Linked DNA regions of Oryzias latipes. The protein of the gene in region 3 interacts with the protein of the main gene of each other region in a pairwise test. Links are inferred from orthologs where the notes say so. Each region holds a gene or a part of one and is shown on either strand. Other genes may lie near its edges.

Region 1 (3,500 bases), on a different chromosome or scaffold from region 3:
ATCCAGGAACACCAACACTGGCGCTAAACAAAAGTCCGTTTTCCTGAAACGTTTGCAGCGACCTTCATCACGCTCTGCTCATCGGTGCTTTTACCCTGTTTGTGTTCCAGAGCTCGACGCCGGCTTCCAGGGGGGGTTTGCTGGATACCCGGCTGACCAGGACGGCATGGACGACATGGGCATGGGCATGGGCGTGGAAATCATGAATGGCATGATGCCCGACGAATACCAACCAGGCTACTACGAGGGACAATACCCAGATCAATATTAATGGTCAGAGCTGTTCCACTTGTTTTGGGGGGGTTATTAACAGTCACTGACTTTTGGAAACGTTCAGACGGGTTTGTTCTTGCAGAACATTGTGGTTCCAGATCTTCAGGTTCTTCGTTTGAGCTGTAATACTTTACAGATGATTCTGATTTGCTGATTATGGTAATCCCTTACTAAGCTACTCCCACCACTGCACAACCCCTGAGTTCCTCGTTGTCATGCCTACAGAACAGTAGCTTAGAGCATCCGTGACGGTCTGTTTGGTTTATACCGGGCAGGTCTGTCAAACGTTTTCCTCTTCTTATCAGTGGAAACCAAAACCAGCCGTGAGCCTCACAGATGGACGTCCACAGGAAGTGTGGTTGATGGATCGACTCTCTAAGAGGAACATGAAGGTTCAACAAAGATGGATATTTAGGTTTCACCTCGGTTATGTTTTTTCTACCAAGTGTTTTCTCAACTGGCAATGTCAGAATTTGAAGCCCCAGAGGAATCATTGTCCAGAGTTATTAAAACCCTCCACAAAAAAAAAAGTCCAGAGATCAAAGTCTTCCTGAACTCTGATCCGCTCGCTGTCTCTCGTCTGTAGGTTTGGGTTGGAGGGTCTCCTCACCCTGATCCTTAGCTTCTCCACAGAATCCTGATCATGTTGTGATGAGGTTCTTGGCTGAAAAAAACAACAACCCTAAAGCAGGATGTTCCCACCACCATGTTTGACTGTCGGGGTGGAGGACTTCCCCTTTATTTGTCCCGTAATAAAGGAGCATCCTGAGCGTCTCTCTTCTGGTGAATCTAAATCTTGAAGGTGGTTTTGGTAAAGCTCCGCCCACTTCAGAGGACCCGAACAGTTGTTTTATGGATTCTTTAGAACAGAAAAAGTTTCCTGGGTTTGAGGTCTGAGGCTCTAAAAAAAAAAAAAAAAGCCTCTGTGGCAGAAGGGGTCGCCATGGCGACGGGTGAATGCAGTCGCAGCTGTGAAAGCCTGTTGCTGCTGATGGAGCGCTTTCTCTTGACCTGAGCGCTCACAGCAGTCAGTAAATTAAAACGATCCGACCAACGGGGGGGGGGGGGTTCTAACGTTCTATAAAACTTTACATTCCCTGATTTGTTTCATCAGCAGCGACTCTGAGCAGAAGATCCGCTTCAGTCTTTCACATCTGCACAAAAAAGGGGGGGGGCTGGAGGGCCCCACCAACAAATCTCATTGTACTGCTTTGCCCCTCTTTGTGTTCCTATGGTAACAGCCCTGTGCTCACAGGCTCCTCGTCCACGTTTGTAACATACAAACATGCTCAGAAGGCCCAAAGTGCTTCTTCCCACACGGATGCTGAACACTGGCGCCAAGCTATGTCCACCAGGAGACAGGAGGGCTTCAGCGTCTTGTTTTCAAGGACACTTCCACACACGGGTGCACGGGGAAGTAACCAGACCTGCGATCTTCTAATCAGAGGTCGACCGCTCTACCTCTGCACCACAGCTGTTTATTGGCTTTGAGATTCATAAAAAGACGAATTTTTAATCCTGAACCTGAAGGACAGAGAAAGGTTAAGGACACTCGGAGGCTGTGTCCTTTTCTGCAGCTCTTTTCCAAAAGATGGTGGAAAAACCCTAGAGCCGACAAATTCATTTCAAGATGGGCTTAAAAAAACAAACAAATGAGCTGAAAAACATTTTAAAAGTGCTCAAAAAGTGTGATCGATTCACAGTCACTGCTGGTTTTTTGCCGTCGTTCTTCACCTCAAAGCTTTTCCTCTGAACATCAACCATCCTGAAAACTCAAAAAGTCTAAATGCAAGAAAGAAAAGCTTCACAGCATGCAGGAGGAAGAGGAGCAGAACATTCTTCACTCCGTGGTGGACGGTAATCCCACTGCCGTCCTCTAGGGGGAGCACTGCTCCGTTTCCTTCTGTTACGTAACGGGGCTCTCTGGCTGTTGAACCTGATGCGAGTTGACGAGCCGTTGCTGCACAGCTCTCTTTTTTTCAGCGGCAGCACTTTGTGATCCAAGATAAAGCGACCAACCACCCCCCACCCCCCCAGAACCCAAGAAACCAAAGCGTTTCTCCCAACAAAGGAGGACAGAGCAGCAGGTGGAGTCCTGGAGTCTGATGAGTGAGTCCAGCTCACAGCTGAGGACGTCTGGAAGGGCAAAATAACTCGAGCCAGATTATTTCAATAATCCAGCTTCAGGGGTGCAGAAATGTGACCAACAGATTAAATAAAAGGGTACTGAACAGAAAAAAAATGAGGCTGTGGAAAGAAAAAGTCGGACTCCACCCGCATCCTTGTTTCCATGGAGACGTGAGGCATCCAGGAAGAAGAAGCCAACTAACAAGTGTTTTTGTGTCGTTTCAGAGGATGGAGGAGGAGCTGAGACCAGGAGGAGAACAGGAAGGAGTGGAGTGTTCCCTGTGCCCCCCCACATGATGTAAAATATGCAATTATTACAGAATATGGGACTCATAATCTTAACAGGGCTGAACTTGTGTTTTATAGACTAATTTTACTGATTCTAGTTCAGGCGCTGAGGCTTCAGCTGTGTGTGTGTTTCTGCTTCTGGGTGGGTGTTCGACGCCAAAGAGATTTTATTTTGTTATGATAATCATGTAGCTTCCTTTTTTATGAGAAACAAAAAAATAACAGTTAAAAACTCTGCATGCTCCACGCCGCCGCCATTCGCGTGGCTCTGGGGGGCGTGGCCACTGCTTCAGAAGAAGGGCAGCCGATGGATGCGTGAACTCATGAGACGTTAGTCTGGAGCGAACTACTGACAGGGAACTTAGTCTTTGTACTTCAGAGTTTTTACTGAAAATCTGTTTATAAAATAAAGATTATATCAAACTGCTTTGGTGTCTCTTTGATTCTTGACTTTGCGTCATTTCAAATACATTTTTATTCCTTATAACCTACAAAGACTAAACTTGTTTTAGATCCTTCTTCACCTCAAGCTGCAGAAAACGTTGGAAAGGATCTCGAGCTTCTCTTCATTCCAGCTCTGGATCCTGCAATGTCTCCAATCCTCCATCACAGTCCTCGTGCCCAGGAAGACGCATTTCCACCTTAAGTGACTACCGACCAGTGGCGCTCACACCAGTAGTGGAAAAATGTATTTAAAATAACTTGGAGTCTTATCACATCACTCCTGACCCAAAGCTTTGACCTGTCAGTTCGCTTTGAGAGGAAACGGATCCACAGTGGACGCCGTAGCCACAGCCCTTCATGCTGCTCTA
Region 2 (4,026 bases), on a different chromosome or scaffold from region 3:
ATTTAAAGGCGAGAAAATAATAATTCCACAGGCACTGAGAAAAGCCATGATTGATCGTATCCATTCAAGTCACATGGGAATCGAAAAGAGCAAAAGCAGAGCAAGAGACATTTTGTTTTGGCCCCAAATGGGTAAACAAATCGAAGAAGCAGTTATGACATGTCACATATGCCAAGAGCGCCGCAGCTCAAACCCCAGAGAACCTTTAATGTCACATGCTATACCTGAAAGACCATGGCAAGTGATAGGGACTGACTTGTTTAGTTGGAACTCAAGAGACTACATTGTCATAGTTGACTATTTAAGCAGGTATTTTGAGTTAGAAAGACTTTACAGTTGTACCTCAGCAGCTGTAATTGCCAAACTCAAAGCAGCAATGGCAAGACACGGAATTCCAGAAATCGTCATAAGTGACAATGGACCATGCTACAGATCAAAAGAATTTAGTCAATTTGCAGAGTCATGGGGATTCACACACACCACGACCAGCCCCCACTATCCACAGAGCAACGGACTTGCAGAAAAGACAGTCCAAACTGCAAAACGCATATTGGACAAAGCAAGAGCAGAAGGAAAAGACTCATATCTAAGTTTACTTGAATACAGAAATACCCCAGTTGACAACCTTCACTCACCAGCACAGCTACACATGAGCCGCAGACTACGTTCTATACTTCCCAACACACCTGAGCAGCTGAAGCCACAAGTTACCGGTCAGGAAAGTGTGCGCTTTCAGAGAGAAGTTTGCCAGCAGCGTCAGCAGACATTCTTTAACAAATGTGCTAAACCTCTCACCCCACTATCTGCAGGTACACCCATTTCTTACCAGCAAGAAGATGGTTCCTGGAAATCAGCAACAGTCACCCAACCAGCAAATACAAACAGAAGTTATCACATCACAACTGCTGAAGGACAAACGTTAAGACGAAACAGGCGTCATCTGAGAGAGAGACACTCTGACAGCAAAGAAGTCCAGATCGCAGAAGAAGTACAGCAGCCTGACCTCAGTGTGAAGGACCCGAAGATCAATCAGCCAACAACTGCTGAATCCCAAAGCACAGAGGACACTTTGCCAAATGATCAACCGCCTGTGTATGTCACTAAGTCTGGAAGAGTTGTTAAACCTAAACAAATCTTTGATATGTAAGATGTTTAAATATTTGTCAAAGGTAAAGGAAAATGTTCTCATTATTTCATGTTACCTAGTATGGATGACAAGCAGCTAAGTTTAGTTATTATTATTATTATTTTGAGGTAAACAAAGTCTTATCAAAGTTTACATGATAATGCAGTGCATTATTATTATTTTTTTTTTAGTTTAAGGGGGATGTAATATTCTGACCACTAGGTGTCACTGTGATTTGATAAGATACCTAGTCTCGCGGGATTTTGTGGAATAGGTGTGAGATTCAAGATGGTGGAAGTAAAACAGTGAATGTGACACTTTCCCGGCCTGGATTGTGATTTATTCAATTTAAATCAAAGTTCTTTAACCAAGAACATTACATAAACAAAAACTAATCTGGTGCTTTAAGGAACAATCTGTATATTACGGCTTTCAGCAGTACGCATCACCACAGTATGCACATTAAAACCCAACTTCATTTATCTTTTGATCCATTTCAAGGCCTTCCTAGTGATTTTGTAATTATGATTATGTGGTTTTAAGGCAAAAAAAAATTAAAAATTGTCTTGTTTTGTAGGACATAGTTTCTGTAGAGCGGCAGTAGTTCATTAGAATTTTTTTAGAATTTCACTTCTGAGTTATGAGCAGGACTGTTGGCATGGGGCAACCTCTCCCCCCTTCCCATCACCCATAACTGATAGCTCTCTGTTTACGCTCTCTCCCGCTAGCTTACAGCCCCTTACAACCACAACCTACCTCAAAAAAATGGTGAGCAACCTCAGAGCTATCCGGCTGTACAGTTTTGATTCAGAAATTAGCTCAGATGAGGAAAACAAAGCCGTTCATGGATCTATTTGTCTGCAGGTGGATGCATCAGCATGGAGCAGAGCAGGAAGCTTAAGGCTTGTCTAGTGTTTTTTCTACCTCACAAATATGCTCTTTCTCCCCTGAGTCACATTGATTTGAATAAAAAATGATTAGAAATTTAATTTTGAGCTTAATTTTTTTTTTTGCACGTGTCCTCAATCATCAGAAAAATGTCACAAGAACTTGTTAAAAATACACACAAAAAATGGTCTTCATCAGAGTGGATCTTTATCAAGGTAATGCCCAAAACTAGTTAAAATCACATTTAATAGTTTGGCATTTGTGGATCCCAACTAGCCTCATGTTTTAGTTTGGAGTAGAAATTTGGCCAATAAGTTTATTGCTTTGTCAAATTGCATTGAAATGGAAGTTAAACTGGTGATGGTGGATATCAACTAAGAGTTTTAGGTCAGTGTTTGTTGGTTTGTCTTAAATGACATTTCTTTTCTTTACTGTGAGTGAGTTCTTCTCCTGTGCACATCTGGAGCTTTTATTCCCTGGAATACCGACAGTCCGTGAAGGCATCATGAAACACTAAACTACAATTCCCATGGGAAGGATGCTAACGTTTTAGCTTCAGCATTAAGCAACAGTTCTACCTGTTGAACCGTGTCGGCTTTTATTTTGAAAAACGACCGCAGCGGCTCACCTGTGCAGGCGGTGGCAGGCGCTGAAGCTCTGCAGGCGGGTGATGTAGCCGACGCGCTCCGCCGCGCTGCTGTGCAAGGACCCGGCCATGGTGGAGAGCCGCTGAAGCCGCTCCGTGAGCAGTTTAAGCCGGCTGCTGCCGCGGCGCGCGATTGGTTTAGATCAGGGCGTGGGGGCGGGTCACGTGACCGGCGTGCGTCAAGCTCGAGACGCCTCGCCTTCAGAAAACAGGGGGGGGGATTTTGGCAAATGTTATATTCATAAATGTAAATTTTCTTCATCTTCTATTTTTTCCCCCGTGTTAATCAAACAAATTGAAATGTATATCAGTAACATCTCCAAAAGTCTTAACCAGAAAGCTGTATGTTTATATGAAAGTTGTAGAAACCTTAATGTTTTTATGTAAAATGCATGTAATATGTATGCTCCCCTGGCATATCTGAAGTTCACTTTGTAAAATTGTTATCTGTAGTGTACTTCCGTTTTGTATAATAAAGTTTATTTAAAAAACAGGGGTATTTGAACTGTCCTTCTGATTAGGAAAAATACATAATCAAACTTTTAGTAGAAAGATATAACTTAATATTTCATTAAAAATAAAAATCTTTCATCATCTTAGTCCAGGGTCACACAGGGCCCATCCCAGCTACTGTAGGTCAAAGGTCAGGTACCACCATGTACAAAACATACTTTATGATATTGCAGAGAAACATACCAATTTTACTGATTATTTCATTAAAAGAAATCTCACACTGCTACCAAAAAAACACACATTTTTCTTTCAGAATAAAGACCATAAAAGCATCTTGTTTGCATATTTACTGATATGTTGTCACCCTGTTGGATCCATCAATACCGGTAATTGAATCCTGGGTTGCCAGGTTGGATGTAAGCTGCAACAAATAAAGGTTTACGGTGGAGATGATTGAAAGATTTTGAAGAAGATGCTGATTTGGAACCATCGCCCACATAAACAAAACAGTAATCAAAATTTGTTAACCAGCTAAGATTAGCTGTGTAAATTGTTAATTCATTTTCAGAATTCCATTCAGAATCACAGTGCTGCTGAAGCCTGTTGGACGAAGGCGGAATACGTCCTGGACTAGTCTATCGCAGGATCACACAAATGTTCACACTTAGCCGCAATATAGAGATATCAATGAACCTATGAAGCATGTTTTTGGAATGTGGGAGGAAACCAGAGTTCCAGTAGAAAACGCACACACACATTCATGACTAGACTAAAACAACAAACTTCACACAGAACAAACCCAGCTGGGATTCAAACCAGGGCCTTAGCCGTGAGGGGAAAGTACTAACCACCACCTCAGTGCAGCCTGACGTCTAAATGAAACTTCTGGGGGGATAAAGTTATATTTAAGGTA
Region 3 (4,051 bases):
ATACAAAAACTCTGACAGCCCTAATTGGATCTAGTCTCCCCTGTGTCATTTCACACTATATTACACACAATCCAGTAGTTACCAATACCTTTAAAATTATGTTTCAATTCAGACAGACGTATGGACTCACTCAAGTGCTTACCACTAGTCCTATACACAAAAATCACCTTTTTCTCCCTGGTCAGACAGACTTCGTATTCATGATTTGGGAAGTGATTAAGGTACAGTATAATCAACTTTAAGGACATGTACCTAAGCGGTATATTTGCAAGCTTCAATGATCTTGCTTCCAAATTTTGTCTGCCTCACTCTCACTTTTTTTAGTACCTTCCAGTGTGTCGCTTCCTTCAGCAGCATGACCCTAACTTCCCTAACATACTGTGTTAGATGAGGTGTTTGAGTTGCCACTCAATTCAAAAAGATTCATTTCCAAAATCAAAGACTGCAAAATTCCTGCTTCCATCTTTGTTGTTTGATTGTCGACTGGTTAATTCAAAACTTCCAAACTTATGTAATACGTTCTTTGTTTGTTGGAGAACTGTTTCCAACATTCTACAAAACTCATTCTATGTCCCAGCATTACACAAAAAAGTTTTTTAAAAACCCAATTTTTCCAAAATACAAAGAAACCCATTTTAAACAATGAATGCAGTATACCCATGCAAGGAACTGCTACATTTACGTTTTGGTTTTCAAGAAAATAACTGTTAATAAATATAAAATCACTTGATCATCTGTTTTTTGAATGTACATATGTTACCAGTTTTTGGGAGTATTGTGTTTGTTGGTGCTCCTCAAAGTTTCCTTTTCCTATTTCTATTCCGTTACAGTTGTGAGTACTTTCTGGTGATAATTTATTTGATTTGGCATTTGATACTTTATTAAATTCTGGGAAATTCTTCATCAATGAGAGCAGATTTTTTTAAAATCAAATCATTATTCAATACATTTCATAAAGAGATCTGTTTACATTTTAAATCCTTGGAATTCAAGAAAAACAGAAATGCAATAAAACTGTCAATTTTCATTGAAGATCACATGTTGTATGACCATACCTAGTGTGAGCTACAATTCTAATGTTATTTATTTATTTTTTCTTTGTATTGTATTCTTTTTTCTTTTTATATCTTTCTATTGTAGTTATGTGAATGTGTACGTGTCATCCTTTGAAGTTCAATAAGAATAAAATAAAATAAAAAGTTGGTGAAATCAACGCTACAGGAATGGGCTTTTAGTTTGAAAGGACGGATGTGACGTACTGTATTTTCGGTGAGGTTCTTTCCGGTTAGCTTACAGACATGAAGGGTCAGTTAAAGAAAGGTGTGGAAGTAATACCAAGCCGGGAAAACTGCGTTTATACCAGCTGTTATTGGTAAAAACCAAGTTTTAACAAATCAGAAAAGCAGCCCACTGTCCTGCAGTCTTTAGTTTTGTGTCAATAAATCATTTATTGTCAAGAAAAACATCAAAATGCTAAGCGGATCCGCTCGGCTAATCGATATTCACAGTTTACATTGTTAAATGTTATACCCATTTTTAAAACTGTTATAGTGAATGAGTTATTTCAATGCCATCTGTCTAATTAATGATTGAATGAATTTTCAGGGAAATATAGTTCATTTTAATCAAGTGAATGAGTGGCTAATGCTGCTTTCCTTTACTTTCTCAGTGAGGAAAATGTTTGGAAGCTCTGTGAGTTTATTCAAGCACAGAAAATGGTTCCACTGGACCAGTTTGCTGTAATTTTCATCTCTAACGACACCAGAACGGTAAGAAGATCTGGAAACATTTTAAACGGCTTAACAAGACAATCGAATAAACAAAATGTTTGCTTTAAAAATAATATTTCAAAAAGTACCTCATACTGAGAATGATGGGCACCGAGCCCTCAAGGGTTCAGGTGGTCTCAAGAAATATTTGAAAGTAAATAACAGGCCTTCTCTGTAAAAAGAAAAATCCTTTTTGCAAAACATCTGGTAGTTTCAAAATACAGCTACAGTGATCCCTCGCTATAACACGGTTTACTTTTCACGGTTTCGCTACTTCACGGATTTGCATCGTGCATTGTGTTCTGCATTCTGATTGGCTAAAAAGTCACTTCACTTCTCTACCTGTGCGTCAATAACATTGCAGTTTAATATGTACACGTACGTAAATCAGCGTGCCAAATTTACAACAGATACGTGCAAATCATCTTGCAATTTCGAGTTTCTCTATAACCCATGAAAAAAAGGAGCGACAACAACAACTGCCTATCACTATGTTCTTCTCCCGAACAAACACAGCTGCACCGCGGGCTTCAAAGGGAGACTGCAGAGCGGAGTCAGGATGCAGCGGCTCAAGAGCAGTGAATTACACCTGAGTCACTATTTGTCTGACCGTACTTTGTATTTTTTTAAAAATCATTTTAAATATCTTCCCGTTTAATCCAAATACTCGGGTCGCGGTGGGCGGGGCTAATCTCCGCGATTTGAAGCCTTCTGTTCACATTGATGATTAAAATTCTTATTTGACAGTACAATACAGAAGATATTTGTTGAAAAACCTTTTCTAAAGTACTTTTATTTGTGAAACAATTCCTTAGCCTGTAAAACGGTTTGTTCTTTCTTTTCAATGTATAATAGAGAATTTAATTGTATAATAATTGTTAAAAAAAAAGGTTTCTACTTCACGGATTTTGCCTATCACGGGTTCTTTTTGGAACGTAACCCCCGCGAAAAACAAGGGTTTACTGTACTCCATTAATTGTGTCCAAATTGGAGGGCTGTGTTCTTCCTGGGCTGCATCTGAAGGCTGCTTACGTAACATGTTGTCCAAATTCAACAAGTCCTTTAAATATGGCCACCGAATACAGCCTTCTTTTTACCCGATTTCAAGGATTGCTCTGGTGTACCCTTCTATGCTGTCCATATCCCAAGATGCATAGCAGTAGAACCCGGATATTTTCTGACAACAATGGCTCCATGCCTGGTTCACTCCTCCTCCCTGTTCGGGACTCACGGTTGCTAGGCAACAGGACATTCACTGATGTAATGGCTGGAATTATCTAAAGGCTAGACTCGTCCAAATTCACAGCCATTAACATCTGACCTACCCGCTCAACAAAGGACCCGAGTAACATCGCCAGGGAAGACTGCGGCCATTGAAGGACGCAGACTTCGAATTTGGGAGCACCCAATATATAACGCTCAAATGTTGTGAAAGCGTCTCACTAAAACGGTCAATCAAACCAAACAAAGAAGTTCATCAAACAAATAGGCAATCCCTAAAACTGGCCACTACACACAGTACATTACAAAAACCAAAGAAATCCCGGACAAGCCCCCAATTTATGTTACACCCCATTTTAGGAAAAAGAAATACTATTTAATAAAAAAACAACCAAATTACTGTATATTTGCAGTATAAAGCACACTTAAAACCCTTAATTTTTTTATTTAAAAAGCAACAGTTTGTCTTAAAATCATGATCACCCTATCTATTAATTAGTTATGCTGCAAACAAGGTTGGGTGTTATTGTGAATACCCTCACGCGGCTAATGTGTGGCGATGTTGGACTGTTTTTTTGGTTACCAAAAAGGTTGTGTGATAGCGTAGTCACGGTAACGTTTGTTTTAGCGCTATCAGTCTGTTTTGTCCACGTGCTGCAAGCAAAGTAACGTGACTGACTGACGGACATTTCTCTGACTCTTTAATCTCACTTAATCTGCCTTGTAGTTCGGTGTGCTCTATATGTGACATATGCTCAAAATAGACCATTCATTGATGTTGTGCTTGATAATCCGGTGAGCCCTGTAGTGTGGAAAATACTGTACAAAGAACAAAGCCTGTATGTATGTTCTGCCCTGGAGATCCTTGCCCAGTCTGGTGCTCTGGACAATTAGGCACAAATGTGCAATCAAAGCTGGCAGAGGAGAAGGAAGACAGAAAACCTCCCACTCCAGCAGAAAATATAAAAGAAAATAGAGAGAGAAAACCCAAATGTACAAAAAAGCCATCACACTGTCATTTATCCATAAATTTTCTAAATCTGCTTAATCTGTTTTGAGGT
Region 4 (4,146 bases), on a different chromosome or scaffold from region 3:
CCCTAGGTGTGAGTGTGAGAGTGAATGGGTGTGTGTTTGTGGACATTCTACCCTGCGACAGACTGGCGAACTGTCCAGGTTGTCCCCTGCCTTCGCCCACAAGTGGACGGGATAGGCTCCGGCAGCCCCGTGACCCCGAAAGGGAAAAACGGTTAAGAAAATGAATGAATTTTCAATCAGAGATGAAACGTTTTTGTTCAGATTCCATAATATTTCTTTCTCTGGGGAGGTGGATTGCCAAATCCCGCCACGCATCCATTCCTGGTCCGGCCCTTCTATCAAATTTTAGAACCCTTTGTGGCCCACGAGTCAAAAGGTTTGCCCACCCCTGCATTAGGCGCTGAATTGACACCATAGGGCTGGTGCTCAGATCGCAGGATTTTAGAGGAAACTCAGAAATGCGGATCAAAATACCGCTTTGGTGTTGCTTATAGTGAGGAACTAACATAAGAACACACTCAAAAGCTGAGAAAGAGTTGATTTTGCATTATATAGGTCCTTCAAATGTGTTTATAACTGAAAATGCTACAAGGACATGTTAAAAACACAATTTTCTTTGGAGTGTGTCTTTAGAGTAAAAATAAATATTACTACAAATGCAGAACAGCTTTAAATCCAATAACTAAATAAAACTAAAATATGCAGGATCATTTAGCTATGGCAGTTAAATTAACGTCTTTACATGACAAATAAACACTGGTAAGAGTCAAAAAGCTATATTTAAATTACGCTGTATTGTTTTAGTGATAATGTTATTAATGCATTTCATCACTAAAGTGTTTATTTCTACATTTATACATTTAAAAATCCCCATAGCTGATTTGGTTTCCATGGTGAGACGCAGGAGACACATTTTAAATAAATGATGGAGCTGCAGCTAAAAGTCGTCCTGTGGATGTATGCATCAAATAAATTAATCAAAATGGGCTAAAGTGGTTTTACCAAACTAAAAGATGACAGATATTCCTGACTGTTTGGGAAGTTTGTGTGTGCATCTTTAATATGCATTTAAATGTATTTGTTCTCTGTGTCTTTCTTTAGTTTGGGACTAAATTGTGTCTCAAAGATTCCTTTTTGGTTTTATTATTATGGCTGACCAAAATGAATTTAAAAGAAAAGTTGGAATTAGCTAGATTTTTTGGTATTTTTGTTTTTCAAAGACAAACCTTAGTAATAAATCTTGAAATGGTAAAAAGTCTGAGTGTTTCGTCACCTTTAAAGACCCACTATGATGAAAAATGGTGTTTTTGGAGTTTTGATCATTTCCTTTTAACATTTTTCTGATGATGTAGGACATGTATTTAAAAAATTGCATTTCCGAGTATTTCCTCATTCTGTGAATTAGGAGCAGACGGGAAAAAAGCAGTTTGAAAAAGCTTGTAGCAGTGATTACGGTCAGTGATCTACAAGCTTCCTGCTCTGCTCCATTCTGATCATCCACTGTCAGACCAATAGATCCCTGAACGTTTTTGTTTTCCTCGTCTGAGCTGGAATCTGGATCTAAACTGTATGGCTGGATAGCTCTGATATTAGTTTTATTAAACCACTAATGTTGTGTTGGAGCTGTGAGGGGCTGTAAGCTAGTGGGGGAGCATGTAATCAAAGGGATCATAGGAAATGAGGTGAAGCTTACTCCGCACCAGCAGTCCTAACCACAACTGATTTTCTGATGAACCCTTGCCGCTCTGCAGAAACTATGTCCTAGAAAATGACAGGTTTTTGGCCGAAATGGCATCGTCATAAATAAAAGACCACTTTGAAAGTAAACCACCAACAGATTTCAGACGTTTTTCATGTGACCCACATTTTCCCTCATTCCACAAAAGCATGTTCTTTACAAGCATGGCCTTATTTAAAAATGATTTCCTAACGTTTATCTAAAATATATTTTATATTAGTAAGTGTATTTTAAATATGTATAATAACTACAAGAAAAATGGTACCAAAAACCCAATTTAGTCACTTTTAAGTGTAAAGTTTACATGTGTTTTTGCAGCTTGTGCTGAAAGCAGAACATCAATGTCAACAAACACATCACTAATGATGGGAAGGTGAACCGTAAAGCTGATGTTTCAGGCGGGTTTCAGCTGTTGACGCTCTGGACCTGAACCGGGGAGAGCCTTTCTGTCCCTCGAAGGGCGCCAGAGTCCCACAGAGGTCTTCAAACTGAAGCAAAGCGGCTAGAAGAACCTACATCCTAGCATCTCTTCTGCTAGCTTAGCTTCGCGCCCTACAGTTCCCACAGACGCACGCGCCGCCGCTGAGCCGCCGCGAGGCCCACCCCGCCGTCAGCAGCCGGCTCTCCTCTGCATGGCGCGAGCCACGCAGGTCGCCGCTGTGGACGTCCGTGTTTAAGGTCAGCCCAGCCTCCACGACAGGAAGCTAACAGCACCATGGACGAGGGAGGGGGGTGTGAGGGGGTTGCTAGCTTCCAGCTTTCAGCAGATGTGTGACCTCGCGGACAGCTCACCTGGTTGTAATGGACCCGGAACGGCTTCAGGTAGTCGGACTGTGTGCACGGAACCACTTCGACGTTGTTGATCTCTTCCATAGTTTCCAGCTCGAACTCGACCGGAGGCTCGGAGATGCTCGTCTGTCCCCACACACTGGAGCGACGTCTACGGAAGCCGAGAGGCGACCTGACAAACAGACGCGACAACAGGAATTCAGGGAGGCTGAAACCAACAAACAAAAACTTAAAATGAAAGATCTAAACAACTACATTGAGAAACAAGATAGTTTGTATGCGCCAACATCTATTATAACCTGATTAAAAATAGTGCAAAAACATCTAAAAATAATATTCAATAAACTTCAGCTGCTGAACAATCCGAGTGATTAATGGATAACTGCTATGTATTTTTCTGGTATTTCATACTGTAAAATACACAACAAATATGCATACAGTTAATATTGTGAATTTATTTTACATTTAGTAGACATTTTCATTCAAAGTAACTTGTAGATTTCTGAAATCTGAAGACATAGTGGGATTATCCACTTCATGCCTGACTTTATTGCCATCCATCCATCTTCAGACCTCGTTGAACACCATTCAGGGTCATAAGGTTGCTGGAGCCTATCCCAGCTACTGTTGGGTGAAGGTGGGGTACACACCAGACCGACCGCCAGTCTGTTACAGGGCCAAACAATCACATGCAGACTTAGGGACAACTGAGAATCATCCATCAACCTATGAAGCATGCTTTTTGACTGTGGGAAGGAGCCAGAGTGCCTGGAGAAAACCCACACGTGTGCAAAATCCACACAAAAAGAAACCCAGCCAGGATTTGAGCCAGGACCTTCTCACCCACTGCTTAACATGAGAGTAAAAAGAAAAAGTTTTACTCTATTTACTATATAACCCACCCCCCACCCCTAAATTCCCTCCCTTGATGATTCAAATTTGACCAACATTTCCACAAGTCAGGAGAAGAATCGAGTCAAGTGATTCTGGAAAACGAAATAAACAAAGAAATGTGTTTGTTTTTTTAAACTTGTCCTGTCCAACAGCTAGGCAGGCAGATGAGAGCTGAGGGCCTCTTGTGTTGGACATATTTTACTTTAACAACAGGGGTTATGAATCTTCAGACAAACCAAAGGCATGACTGAATAACCAGGTTACTGAACCTTTTGTAATTGAGGCCAAACTTTATTAATTTCAACCATGTTTGAAAATCTTTGGTGTTGGACCAGACGGAAAAGGAAAGGAGGGAAGAAGAGAGAGGGACGTTAGAGAGGGGGGGGTGATAGTGGGAGGGGGGGATAAGACCATGAAGCAGCATAGAGCAGACAAGTTTACTGGTTGTTTATCATTACGGCAAGGCTCAAATGTAGTACTAAAAGGGCGGGGCCTGTCCACACACACACTCAAATGTTATCAACACACCTGCTAGCTGCAAAAAATGTTCACATGTCAACATGTACACAAAACAGATAGTGTTCACGAACGCATACTTATGCCTTAAAACCAACTAGTGTGAAATATTTCATTCATTCAATCATGCAAACTATTAGTGCAAAGGTGAGCTAACACCTGTGCTCAGGTGAGTGTTTATGTTCTTCTAAAATGGAGGGTGGAATGTGAAAAGAAGGAGGAGGAGCGCCCAGCCACCCCCACACCCAGACCCCCGCCGCAGCAGCAGC
Region 5 (4,154 bases), on a different chromosome or scaffold from region 3:
TACTTTCCTTTTTATTCTTCCAGATTCAAAGAAAGAAACAAAGGAATGAGACGCAGTGTTGGTCTGGAGAGGTCAAGGCAGCTGGTGCACGTTGCCTGAGGCAGGCTGCCATCACCCCCAGGCCTGAGCTGGGAGCGACAGTGCAGCCTCCCAGCCTCCAGATGGCTCCATGCCCTTCGGCACTTTACTGCTGCTGTGACATCTGTCAGAATAACCAAGTTGCTTTTGTCTGCGCGCTCTGCATTCTGCGGTTGCAGCTCCTACAAACAGTTTGGCCCCTAAAAATAACTGATCTTTTTATTTCATGGGGAATTGTCTTGTGACACACCTGAATGATTAGAAACCAACCTGACAACACTATCTAAAAAGTACATCAAAATTTCTTAATCACATGTGATGTGAAGAGTTGTGACATTTGACTGTTGCTTGATGACATTAAATGTTAAAGAGGTTGACATTAAACTATGAGAAAATCCTCATCAGCCAAGCGCTTCAGCCACAAAATGAAAAGACGGACTTACCTCGACTCTGGAAATTTTGTCAAGGTGGCCAGACTGCTGGTGTACATGTGCCCGCCTACATCAATGTGCACGGGGGCGTTGGACTTGGTGAGCTGTGCAGGTGCAGGGATGCCCTGGTTACTCAAGGGGGACACTGGTGACCGTGTGATCATGGGCCTGGACATGCTGGAGCGGTTATCCTAAAGACATAAAGGTATGGTTCACAGACAGGAAAGATACTGTGCTGCTTCTTCCGTGAATTAAAAAAAAAAGATGAAAACAAAAGAAAACAAATGAAAATGTAAAAATTTATATCTGCCAAGAAAGCCCAGAGTAAAAACTATATTTCCTGCAGGATGGAGCAGCCTGACCTTGACCTGGATGTTGCCACAATCCATAAGCATCTACTCCTGTGGGCCATGATCTCCGAAACCAAATTAATTTGGGGCATCAATCTCTCTTGGAGACGAGCAATAATGACTCTTGATTTGAATACCTTAATAGGATTTTTTTTGGGGGGGTAAGCTACATCATGTTAACCTACAAACACCATTAGGAGACAATTTTCGGAAGAAAACTACTGCATTCCCAAAAGTTTTAGCCCCCTACATGACTGGGATCGTGGAGAGAACTAACCCCTGACAGAGCTACGAGCTTCGACCACATATTCGACACAAATGATTGAGTTTAACAATAAAATAAAAGCTGTAGAAGGCTGTGCGCATTTGGGTTAAATGACGCAGGCGGATAATGTTTCTTTCTTTGGAAGTTCTTTGCGCTCCTTACCTGAGCCGGCATGACTGCGGTAGGAGAGGAATTCACCGAGTGGTCGTTCTGCTTCAGGGATGCTGCGGGGAGAGGCTCTCCTCTGACCGCAAACATCAGCGCGGGCTCCCTGCACTCCGCTGCCCGCATCGGCAGCCGTTTGAGGGACGCGTGCACGGACTCGTCCACAGAACTGACCGGACGCGGGCGCTTCTTCGCTTTCTGATGCGTTAAGTCCATGATATCCGTTTCCTCCATCGCGGCTCAGACGCTGATAAGAGATCGGACGAGGTCTGGGGTTGTTTCGTGAGAGATAAATAGACGCGAATAGGCGCGAGGAGCAGCGAGCGAGCACCGGGAGGAAGAGCGCCGGCGCCGTGGCTGTCACACGGAGCAGTTCCTTTGCAGTGGCGGGGAGAAGTCAAAGCCCCCGACAACATTAGCATTGTAGCGCCTGCGGCTCTTCTGGGCTGTCGCTGCTTCAGTGGCAGGTATGTGTGCCGCATTTTCGGAATAAAACGGATCCTGTCCTACAGTATAGTATGAGATGGTGGGAGTCGGACGCACATCTGGACCCTGCGCAGCTGGCCCTTTGGCCCCTTGGAACGGCGCGGTCACCCCCTCCTCTAATTTCTGCTCCCATTGTTCAGCAGCGTTTTTTTTTTTAATTCAGCCCTACTCTCAGTCAAGATTTCTAAAAAACAAACAGACCCCAAAGCTCAAACAATGATATCACTGTGTTTGACATGCTCAACTACATGGACATGAACGCACCATTTCACTCCCAACCTACTCACCTGATGCTTTCAGGAGCACAACCTTCCTCAGAAATTACAATATCCTTTGCCCCAGTACAATTTGAAATCTGCTTTGCAGTTGAAAGGGATTTAAAAATAAAGTGTATGCTTAAAAAAAACGTGTTTCAGACATCAAAATAATCTTTGTCAAATTTGTGACCCATATCCACATTTTCTTTGTCCTAATTTTGGCAGTTTTCTGAGCCTCTGGGCAAAACCGAGCCCTTCTGACACTTGCCACAACCCATGTCAGACCCCATTGGTCAAAGCTGGTACATGACAGTGAGACTAGGTTAGGCCCAGCTGTTGATTTCCGGACATAGCAGGTGAACACAACAGTCACCACCACGTGTCACATTTTGCCCAGGTTAGGCCAAAATTAGTCTTTTAGTACAAAAAGGTATACCTCAAGACATAGATCACTTTCAGTAACTTTTGTGGGTTTCTAGAAGAAGTAAGTTTAAAAATATTTTATTTTTTTCAAAGTAGTTGTGTAGAATTACACAAAAGCAGCACCTCCGGCGACTTGTGTATATGCATGAGGGTATAAAAACAGACCACAACACGTCCAACTGCACTTAAGACTACTTTCGCTGTGCTCTTCCGGGATAATTTTTCAGAAGAAAATGCAGGGAATCCACAAATTTTAATAACATTCAGATTAAAATTAATTAGTTCAACCACTGGCCTTAAAACATCCACATTTCTGCTTCTCATTGGCAGTGTTGGTTTCACACCTAGACACCCAATTAGCAATTAAGCTTGCCTTTGAGTGTAGGCCTCCAATGCAGTGTGTGATCCTGGTTTGATTTGCATGCCACTTGTGCACGCGCTGATAAGCACAGGCAGCAGCCATACATAGTTTTAAAATTCAACTCCAGAATCCCTCGCAGAAGGCAAAGGGGCCTGCAGGGCATAAGAGAGAGAAATCACATGGCTGCTCTTCAAAAGGGGACCTGTGTAAGGCAGCCGGCAAAGTGCGTGGGATCACACTCAGAATGCAGGTAATTTGTTCCCTGACTAATTTGTAGAGATGGTAGTGTGTGTGTGTGTGCGGAAGTGTGTGCCTGTGGAGAGAAAGTTCTGAAAACAGCTTGGTGGAATTGGATTTCCTCAAAGCCTTGTCATCGCAAAGGTGGATTGGGTGTAAAATCTGTCAGGCATTATGGAAAATTGCAAGAGAGAAAGAAGAGGAAGTGAGAAAGGACAGGTGGTTAGGTGGGCGTCATGTGGGTGTTGAGGGAATGATCTCTTCCATCACAACATCATTCAGAGCTGGTAGAAGTAGGAAAACATTTTCTTACGCTGGTGTCCACATCCTATAAGTGCTAACATTTGGAGAAGTCAGAACTTCAGCTGCATGTGTATGTGCAAACCCTCGCTGAAACGCCAGCAGGAGCCAGTCTGTCTGGTCTATTCCTGCTAAATTATCACCTGATCTCCTTGTTCATGTGCGGTGGCCCCGAAGTGCAAATCACTTAGCCCAAAAACATATATTAAAGATCACAATGACAGTTAAAAAAGGAAAAAAAAATGGTAACAAAACAAAAATTTCATTTCTGAAATTAGACAAGTTTTAGAAACAAAACTCAAGAGAGGGACATGGCTGCAGACAAGATGGAGTCTGACATCATCGGCCGGAAGTGGAAATTATACAATTGACCCTAATCGTAACCCCAACTGTGACCTTAACCTAAAAGAATGGTACAGGAAACTTGTATTAAAGCTTAAAACAGGAAAAGCTGTGACTGTTAGGGTTTCCAGTAAAAAAGTTTTTTTTTTTGAGAATTTTCTGCACCCAGGTCCTCTCGAGACACAAGAAACAAAATATAAATGAAATGGGGGTAAACTTGATGCAGAGAGCAGTTTATGTCTGATCGGAAGATCGCATGTTCGGTTCCGCCCATGTATAGAGGGGTCCTTGGGCAAGACACTGAACCCCATGTTGCTCCAGCTGCTTACAGGTTGGTGCCACTCTGTGAATGTGTGTGTGCATGGCTGAACTTTAGGTCTTCCAAAAAGGTATTAAAGTGCGAATGGGTCTTGAATATCAATATTTATAAAAGTTTTACGATTAGTACAGAGCAAATCC
Region 6 (3,500 bases), on a different chromosome or scaffold from region 3:
GATCAGTGACAAAAAACTTGTTTTGCCCTGCTGTTTGTGCAGTGGTCCATCGTTTATTACAAGAGTTCTGTTCTAAAAATAACCCACAGCAGACGAAATCAGTGAGTTACTTTTCTTTTTTTTTACAATTATTATAAGGCTGTAAAACCCAGCACTACACACTTAATTCATTTTTCTCAGACATTAACATTTTCCCACTTTCCTCACTTGTTTAAACTCTAAGTTCAAACCTTCGTGGAAAAGTAAGTCAGGCGTTAGAATATAAAACCAAAGATCATCTTTGCAAGCACAATGCCTTCTGTACTGTAATGACCACGAAGGGACATTGATTGACAATGGTGTAGAGCCAATCAGCACAGTGTGCTGTATAAATAAAAATAAAAATAATTTTACCAAATTGCACCAAAAAAATCTGCGAGACTGTAAAAGGTGAACCGCAGTATAATAAATGACCAATGTAATAGAATTCAATGTTCCAGGGGATTTAAAGTGGCCTCTGGATTTCATTTAAATTGTCTTTCAACAGGAATCCTTCTTAAGACCAACATTCATAAAAACGTTTGTAAAAGCCTTACACATATCCAGCATTACAAAGAGATGCATCATATCAGCTTAAAAAATGTTCAGTTATTTCACCAGAATGTTACAGAACACATTTTTTAATGATTATTATTACTGAACACCAAACTGAATTTCATGATTTCCTGAGGTTATGTCAGGGTTCACACTCACCTCTCCGCGGGCTCTCATGGTTAAAGAGGATCCCGTTGACAGCAAACATGTTGTAAGCTTCTCGGAAGTTCACCACAATCCAGTAGGCATAAAGCTTAGCAGCTCCTGAGAAAAGAAGAACAGAAGACGTGCTTTACACCTAAAACCACCTTTATACAACTTTCTCTTTGCAGCCCAACTTCACAACCTCAGGAAGGTTTAGACACAAAGTCAATGCCGCAGATCGTTAAAAGTATTTCAATCAAGTTCATAAAAAAGGCTAATGTTTTATATTACTTATTAATAATAATAATAATAATAAAGGCATTTTGAGTTACTTTAAATGGATCTGATGATCTGCATACTGAAACAAAACTTAGTAAAGTTAATTTCAGCTCCATTGTTGCAGCTTGGAAAACAAAGTCATAGTAAAAAGGATTGAATTTACAGTTTTAATCTGAGGAGGGAGAAGAAAACAGTCCACAAAGAAGAGAAAGATTAAGGCTTCTAACTATGCTGCATGCCAGGGTTGAGCACAGCTTCTCTGCAGATCATCTTTCCCTGTCAGGAGCATAAACCACAGACTCCTGCTGATTGACCAAAAGCAGGCCTGGGCAAAAAGTTCTCCTCTCTTTCCCTTTCACCATCCTCCTCCTCCATCTTTCTATGTAACGAGGGGAATACCAAAGCAAATGAAGGGAGGTGCTGTTGATTAAGCTGTAGGTCAAGATGTACATTGGAGGTGAAGGGAGGCTGCCATGGTGACCACCCCCCCCTTCACCCTCATAAGGCTAATTAATGGAGGAGCAGTCCTGTTCGAAACGCCCATGCAGCATCAGATTGAGTGCTGACAGATGAGGAAAGTGTCAGTGAGGAGAGCATTTAGACAAGAGAGAACATGAAACCTGAGCTTGGACACACGTGCACGGCCTGTCTGCGTGTGTGTGTGTGTGCATGCGCGCGTTGTGTCAAAAGTGAGTGCTGAGTGCCGTGGATATAAAGGTGTCTTTGTTAAAATGAGAGCCACTCCAGTTCTCAATCAGATGTTTGGCCTCAGGGTGTGGAGAACGCACACACACACTGCACCTCCTTCACTTACTCACATGGACACGTAGACACACACATTCATGAAAGCAAAGGAGAAAGTGCTGTAGACGCATCAATGCAAGTCCCTGACAAATGCTGAAAAGTTGAAGTTAGGCGATCCTTGTTTTATCGCCTATGCATTTAGCACTCTTGGTATTACCATAAGGTGAGCGCGGGTAGAAGGGAGTGGTTTCTTTTTGGGGAATCTCCTGCACTTTGCCGTACAGCTCGCTTGTAGAGGCTTGGTAGAATTTGACGCTGTTGGTCAAACCACATGTCTTAATGGCATCCAGGAGGCGCAGTGTGCCCACACCGTCCACATTGGCGGTGTACTCTGCCAGATCAAAGGAGATCTGAGGGAGAAACGGACACAAAAAAAGGAGACACAATGTTGTCATTATAGGAGTTTAGAGCAAAATCTCTGAATATTGTTTAACTCTGGTAAAAATTTGAAGCTTAAGGAAAGAGAAGTGATGAAACTAACATGAAATGATGAGCAAAATACCTTTGTCTTAAGTAAGAATTGAACTGAATATAAAATTAAGTACATTTTATTGTGTGGAAAAGTCAAAAAAAAAAATCACAGTTTCACTCAATAAATGTAGTCATACATGTTCAAAGTCTTCAGTATTCATGTATCACTTTGTGTGAATTTGGCACCAAAATTACAAGAGGAAATTACATGCCAAATAACTAAACAGCGTTAAATCAGAAATTTTTAATTGTTTCTGTTATTGATTACCATCTTTCTTTTTTCTTTTCTGCTTGTTAAAACTTGTCAACACATTTTTTTTTAAAGATTTTAATATAAGCCTAATTCCATCTGAAGATAGATGCATTTTAAACAGTAAACAAACTACTACTGGATTTTTATTCAAGAAAATGACTCAAGGACATTTTTTTCTTTTCAAATGAAATACAGTTTAGAATATTTCCTCTTCCCTAGAAAAAAGCGCATTTCTCTTTGTCTCCCTGTCCAACTCCTCGTCATTTTGACTTGCATTTTTTTTAGGTAGCTAATTTTAACTTTCTCAGTATGCTGTCCAATGGTGTATTAAAAAATGTACTTGTCATATTGTCAAACTACTCACTTATACCCTTATACCTCATTGTGTATGTCTGCAGAGTCACAACAGTTTGCCTGTAAAATCATGTCAACCCTAAAAAGAGGGAAATCGTTGTTTTTTACCAGTTATAAAGTTTGACTCCTTGCCTGAAGGAAGCAGCAAAGACTATAAATAGGTTAACTTGATCCTTTTATGTCATTTTTAAATTCTTTCCATACTTCACACAATATACTCCAACTCCCAGAATCCCTATTTCTAGTATGAAAAAGAGAGGATGGGGACTAAAAAGGCTAGAGGGGAGAGGGGGATTGAGTTTAAATTAGAAATGGATGTGCGCATGCATGACCGTGTGTACCAGACACTGTGTACTTGTGCACGTGCCAAGTTGGCCCCAGGCTCCAAATCAGGCGTGACAGTTAAAAGCCTTGCTGGTTAGTGGTCACCACACCTGGAGCGAGCGGCATGGGCCACGTCTGAACTGAGGAAACACGCCGACCCTTTAGTGCTTTCACATCAGCCCTGCGCACACGGCCAGATAAAGACTCCTTATTTAAAGCTGGGACCTGAGAACACTGGGCCTCTATTCCACTCACAGTGAATCCACACTCAGGCGCACACAAAGCAAGCAGTTTTAAT
Region 7 (4,168 bases), on a different chromosome or scaffold from region 3:
CTCATGCATTTAAAGTGGAAGCTTTAATAACATTTTCATTAAATATATTCTGGAAATAATTTAAACAGGAAAGACAGTTTGCAGGAAATGAACCACGCAGAGAACAGATAAATCAACGTAAAACATGAACTGTGCGTAATTATTGTTCTGTTTACATGAAATTCATTAGTAATTTGTGCGTCAATTACATAATTTTAACGTGATAAATGCCGTACACGCCATATAAATGTTGTACATGCGTGAAAAGTCTGGTAGACATACACGGAACGGTCGTGGAAAGACACAAATTTCTGTTATTAATTTAAACATGAATGAAAATTTGCTGCAACGTTTAAAACTGTTGGTAAATATTGACTTTTTGAACGCAGGTTTTTTGGAAACCATTTAGTACTCATTGGGAGTGTGAGGTATTTTCTTCTTGGACAAGTCTTCAGGGCCAAAAGAAAAGGGCAGCAGCTCCTCCACAGTCATCTTTCTGTGAGATCCGTCAGGGTGGGAGAGGTAAACATCCCAGTCCGTCCCAAACTGGAAAAAAACACAAGTAAATGTGACTCAGGAATATCTTCTTGTTCAGATGCTTCAATGTGTTTGTCAAGCTGAAGCAAATGTTTGCATTTTTTTTTTTTAAAGAATGTTTGGATCTTTTGGACGTGTTGAAGGTACAGAGCCTTCAGAATGAAGCAATATGACCCAACAGTACCTCTCTCATGAACTGTCTGCAGCCTCCACATGGGAAAACGAAGTGATCCCTCACGTCACTGCAGCAGGAAACACGAAAGCGAAGCAACTTCATAAAAAATGTCCTCAAAGCAAGTCAAAAATATAGAATTCAAGATGTTTTTCCTTGTTATAAGTGAAGAAATCTGCCAATGGAACTAAAAGAATTTGTCTTTGTGAGATTTTTTTTTAAAATAATTAGTAATATATTACACCCCTTTAAGAGTAAGTGAAATCTTGAAATCACCTATAAACACTCATATTCAGGTATACTGCTCTGGTAGTTGGTAATATGTCTTAAAATAGCCATCTTTTGATCAAAAAATAGTTTAAATTGTTATCATAGGTACATTTATTCACTTTTGCCTGCACTACAACACCACAGCTATTCTTATTTCTAAACTGCAATCATTTCAAGAGTATAATTACACATTTTAAGATAAATGTGTCGACAAATTATAATTTTGTAATTGTTTCATTTAAAAATTTTGTCCTGTTGTTGCTAAATGCATTTGTTCCACGCTATAAGTCAAATAAAACCGTCCAGTGTCTTTAAACCCTTCATTCCTAGACCATTCATCATCACAAAAACATAAACAACATATTTTAAATCAGTATTTTTGCTTAAAATAAAATGTTTTCAAGATCAAATGACGCAACAAGATATAACACAAGCTATTCCATCCTACACTTAGTTTTGTTTTATATGAAGTGTAAAAAGAGATGTTTTTGTAGAGAAATCATGCTTTGACTTTTTATTACTATACGAGCATTTGCTTCAACAGAAATGGTCACATCGCTAAGATAATTTGTTAAGGTGTGCTGAAGTGCAAAAAGAAACACAAAGAAGTTTGTAAAGTGGGCGAAAGATGCTGGTGTCTGATGGAGTGAATTTTCAAAAATGGCGGTTTCATTTTTTCACCTGGCGACTGCAATCGCCTTGAAGTTCCTGTGTCCTTCTGACACCGCCTTTGCCATGGCATTTCGCTCAGCGCACATTCCCAGGTTGTAGCATGCATTCTCCACATTGCAGCCTGTCAGAGACACGGGACAAAACAGAGTGACCAAATGCATATGTCCCAAAGAAAAAGGGGTCCTTTTCTCTGTAAAGAGGCTGCCTATTGATTTTTTTTTTCTATAGCTTAATCAAATAGTCAGTGAGCCTTTGGACCTCCAGCAGCCTTTCAAGGTTTTGTCAAGCCTTTTCATGTGTGCAGGGATTTTGACACAAAAGGAGAAAACTTTCGCTCGGACAAAAGTTGCAATTGAAACAGATTTTCATGAAGAACTTGAATCCAAAAAATTCAAATTTGGAATCTGAAAATTGCGCCATGTGGTGTTGTAATGACCAATTAGAAATGTGAACCTTCACTCTGGAGTCCAGTCATTTCCCCTGTCAGCTAATCATTAACATTGTGTGACAACTTCAATGTCAGATTGAAGTTTTATTTTTTTTCTTCTCCTAAGTTTTTCCCAAAAAGATTTGAGTCGCTATTATTTGCTTCTTCTTACACAGAGCTGAAAATGTTGCAAAAAGTACTACACTTGAAGTTTATTTTATGAAGTATACCATGTATGTGTACTTCAGACTAAATTGGTATTGTTTAAAATGTACAATAGTACATAAAAATGTAAGCTTCAAGTACCTCACCGTAGTATAGACTAAGCAAACTTGTAGTACATGTATATACTTTTTGCTGAGGGTCACCAAGCAGCCGTGAAAGCCGGATGATTCTTTGATCATCAGTTTAATCTGGTTTAGGTTTTGTTTGGCATCACAGGACATGAAATGACTGAATCAGAGAGGATGAGGTGCGACTCACCTGTGAAGACACGGTTGTCGATGGTGAGGAGAGCAGCTCCCACTCTGAACTGGCTGTAAGGACAGTACGCTTTCTTCTTCGCCTCCTGAGACTGAAAAATCAGTCTTTGAACTGTTTCTGGGGACAGGTCTCTGGAGCCTTCATCCTGGATCTTTGTGATCTTCTGTCCAGACTTGACCTCCTCCATGCTTGATGTTTGTGAGGTTGGCTTTGAGGCTGTGTGTGATACCTCTGCACTGAGTGGGTGAATGATTGTCATGCAGTTCAGCTTTAAATGTGATTTGGGCAGAGGCACGACGCCTGATCTCAGCCAATCATTTGTCAGGCCGTTAGCTGTGCTGCAGGATGAGAACGTTTTTTTCCTGTAGTTTGAAGCAGGTTTGACCCTAAATGGAATGACTTCTTTGCGTCAGGATGGATCAAAAGATGCAAAATCCGAAGGTTTAGTCTGACAAAATATGTCTCTTTATTTTCAGGATTAAAGAAAAATGTAGGTAGCAGACAGAAAAACATCAGGAGGTGAAACTTTTTAAAGTTTCAAACATCTATATAATCTAGTTTATTGATCATTTTAAAGGACCTTTAAAAGAAATATGAGGATTTTTAGAATCTAAAATAAGATACTTTTGCAGATTTAAGACAAGTTTTGAAGATTGAAGATAAATTATCTAGTAAGTTCAGGAATACAAAGTGAAAGAAAAAAACCTTTTGGGACAGTTGAAATTTTATTCAGTACTTTCTTGTGGTTTGAGGAGTTATGGGCTGCTCTGGATGACCTGGTCAATCCAGATGAGGTAGTTTCTGACCTTGGTGTAAACACCAGGGTAGGACGCATAGCCACAGCCGATGCCCCAAGAGACAATGCCTTCAAATTTACCGTTGCAGACAAGTGGGCCTCCTGAATCCCCCTGCAGAGATGTTATAATATTGGATCAAATCAAATCTAACTTTGTTTATAAAAGCACGTTTCATACTCATGTAGCACAAAGGAGCTTCACATGAAAAAACAAAAAAAAAATGAAAAGGAATAAAATACTTACAGGTGTAAACATAAATAAATAAACCTTAATTGGCAAAATTTGCTAAATCTCTAAAGTTGATAAAATTGCAAAAGAATTTAAAAAAGATCCATTCAAATAAGTAACAAAACAACAAAAGGATTCACCAAATAAATTAAACATAAAATAATTGTATTGCTAAATTCCCGTTAAAAGCCAGATTAAAACTCGAGTCATCCTCTAAACACATGAGCAGTCTGTGTGGTCCTGAGGCTCTCTGGGAAACCGTTCCACAGGCGGGGTTCATAGAAACTCGCCATAAGTTATGGTTCTCAATGGAATGTCCGATTCCTTTGAGTATGTTAACACAGCAGAGGTTTCTCCTTCCAAACTCACTGGTTTCCATGCACAGCTTCAATCAATTTAGCTAATTGGACAAAATAAAACAAATTGGTTGATTAAAAAGTATTATTTTTTCGTGTGATAGGAATACACACATTTGTTTTGGTATTTAAAAGTGTGTGTGTCGCATTGTGTTGTACATTTGTCAAGCGAACAAAAACCACTTTTATTTCAATGCCTGTGCTTTTGCTCCTGAAAGTGTTTTTCAGTTCAGGAAGTTCTTAAATT

The links.
Region 1: the proteins of wdyhv1 (region 3) and junction plakoglobin interact in binary tests that used the Homo sapiens proteins (3 or more experiments, as listed by UniProt). The two-hybrid records come from large-scale screens. The link is inferred for Oryzias latipes from reciprocal best matches to the Homo sapiens genes NTAQ1 and JUP.
Region 2: the proteins of wdyhv1 (region 3) and pts interact in binary tests that used the Homo sapiens proteins (3 or more experiments, as listed by UniProt). The two-hybrid records come from large-scale screens. The link is inferred for Oryzias latipes from reciprocal best matches to the Homo sapiens genes NTAQ1 and PTS.
Region 4: the proteins of wdyhv1 (region 3) and nudt14 interact in binary tests that used the Homo sapiens proteins (3 or more experiments, as listed by UniProt). The two-hybrid records come from large-scale screens. The link is inferred for Oryzias latipes from reciprocal best matches to the Homo sapiens genes NTAQ1 and NUDT14.
Region 5: the proteins of wdyhv1 (region 3) and kctd1 interact in binary tests that used the Homo sapiens proteins (3 or more experiments, as listed by UniProt). The two-hybrid records come from large-scale screens. The link is inferred for Oryzias latipes from reciprocal best matches to the Homo sapiens genes NTAQ1 and KCTD1.
Region 6: the proteins of wdyhv1 (region 3) and gmds interact in binary tests that used the Homo sapiens proteins (3 or more experiments, as listed by UniProt). The two-hybrid records come from large-scale screens. The link is inferred for Oryzias latipes from reciprocal best matches to the Homo sapiens genes NTAQ1 and GMDS.
Region 7: the proteins of wdyhv1 (region 3) and cda interact in binary tests that used the Homo sapiens proteins (3 or more experiments, as listed by UniProt). The two-hybrid records come from large-scale screens. The link is inferred for Oryzias latipes from reciprocal best matches to the Homo sapiens genes NTAQ1 and CDA.

Annotation. Positions count from the first base shown.
Region 1 is NC_019859.2:29,185,492-29,188,991, reverse strand, and holds the end of junction plakoglobin, read left to right. Parts: intron 1-110; coding exon 111-271; 3' UTR 272-273; intron 274-2,625; 3' UTR 2,626-3,115; downstream 3,116-3,500. UniProt on the Homo sapiens protein: Common junctional plaque protein. The membrane-associated plaques are architectural elements in an important strategic position to influence the arrangement and function of both the cytoskeleton and the cells within the tissue.
Region 2 is NC_019877.2:21,061,572-21,065,597, forward strand, and holds the start of pts (6-pyruvoyl tetrahydrobiopterin synthase), read right to left. Parts: upstream 2,801-4,026; 5' UTR 2,732-2,800; coding exon 2,643-2,731; intron 1-2,642. UniProt on the Homo sapiens protein: Involved in the biosynthesis of tetrahydrobiopterin, an essential cofactor of aromatic amino acid hydroxylases. Catalyzes the transformation of 7,8-dihydroneopterin triphosphate into 6-pyruvoyl tetrahydropterin.
Region 3 is NC_019869.2:4,812,114-4,816,164, reverse strand, and holds the start of wdyhv1 (protein N-terminal glutamine amidohydrolase), read left to right. Parts: upstream 1-1,251; 5' UTR 1,252-1,298; coding exon 1,299-1,372; intron 1,373-1,669; coding exon 1,670-1,769; intron 1,770-4,051. UniProt on the Homo sapiens protein: Mediates the side-chain deamidation of N-terminal glutamine residues to glutamate, an important step in N-end rule pathway of protein degradation.
Region 4 is NC_019882.2:19,388,650-19,392,795, forward strand, and holds the start of nudt14 (uridine diphosphate glucose pyrophosphatase), read right to left. Parts: upstream 2,801-4,146; 5' UTR 2,552-2,800; coding exon 2,471-2,551; intron 1-2,470. UniProt on the Homo sapiens protein: Hydrolyzes UDP-glucose to glucose 1-phosphate and UMP and ADP-ribose to ribose 5-phosphate and AMP. The physiological substrate is probably UDP-glucose. Poor activity on other substrates such as ADP-glucose, CDP-glucose, GDP-glucose and GDP-mannose.
Region 5 is NC_019875.2:25,800,525-25,804,678, forward strand, and holds the start of kctd1 (BTB/POZ domain-containing protein KCTD1), read right to left. Parts: upstream 2,801-4,154; 5' UTR 1,524-2,800; coding exon 1,287-1,523; intron 701-1,286; coding exon 522-700; intron 1-521. UniProt on the Homo sapiens protein: May repress the transcriptional activity of AP-2 family members, including TFAP2A, TFAP2B and TFAP2C to various extent.
Region 6 is NC_019862.2:20,928,782-20,932,281, reverse strand, and holds part of gmds (GDP-mannose 4,6 dehydratase), read right to left. Parts: intron 2,151-3,500; coding exon 1,958-2,150; intron 838-1,957; coding exon 733-837; intron 1-732. UniProt on the Homo sapiens protein: Catalyzes the conversion of GDP-D-mannose to GDP-4-dehydro-6-deoxy-D-mannose.
Region 7 is NC_019863.2:29,307,602-29,311,769, forward strand, and holds the start of cda (cytidine deaminase), read right to left. Parts: upstream 2,801-4,168; 5' UTR 2,800-2,800; coding exon 2,541-2,799; intron 1,752-2,540; coding exon 1,640-1,751; intron 759-1,639; coding exon 701-758; intron 526-700; coding exon 385-525; 3' UTR 1-384. Other genes in the region: trypsin-like, read right to left, coding at 3,296-3,448. UniProt on the Homo sapiens protein: This enzyme scavenges exogenous and endogenous cytidine and 2'-deoxycytidine for UMP synthesis.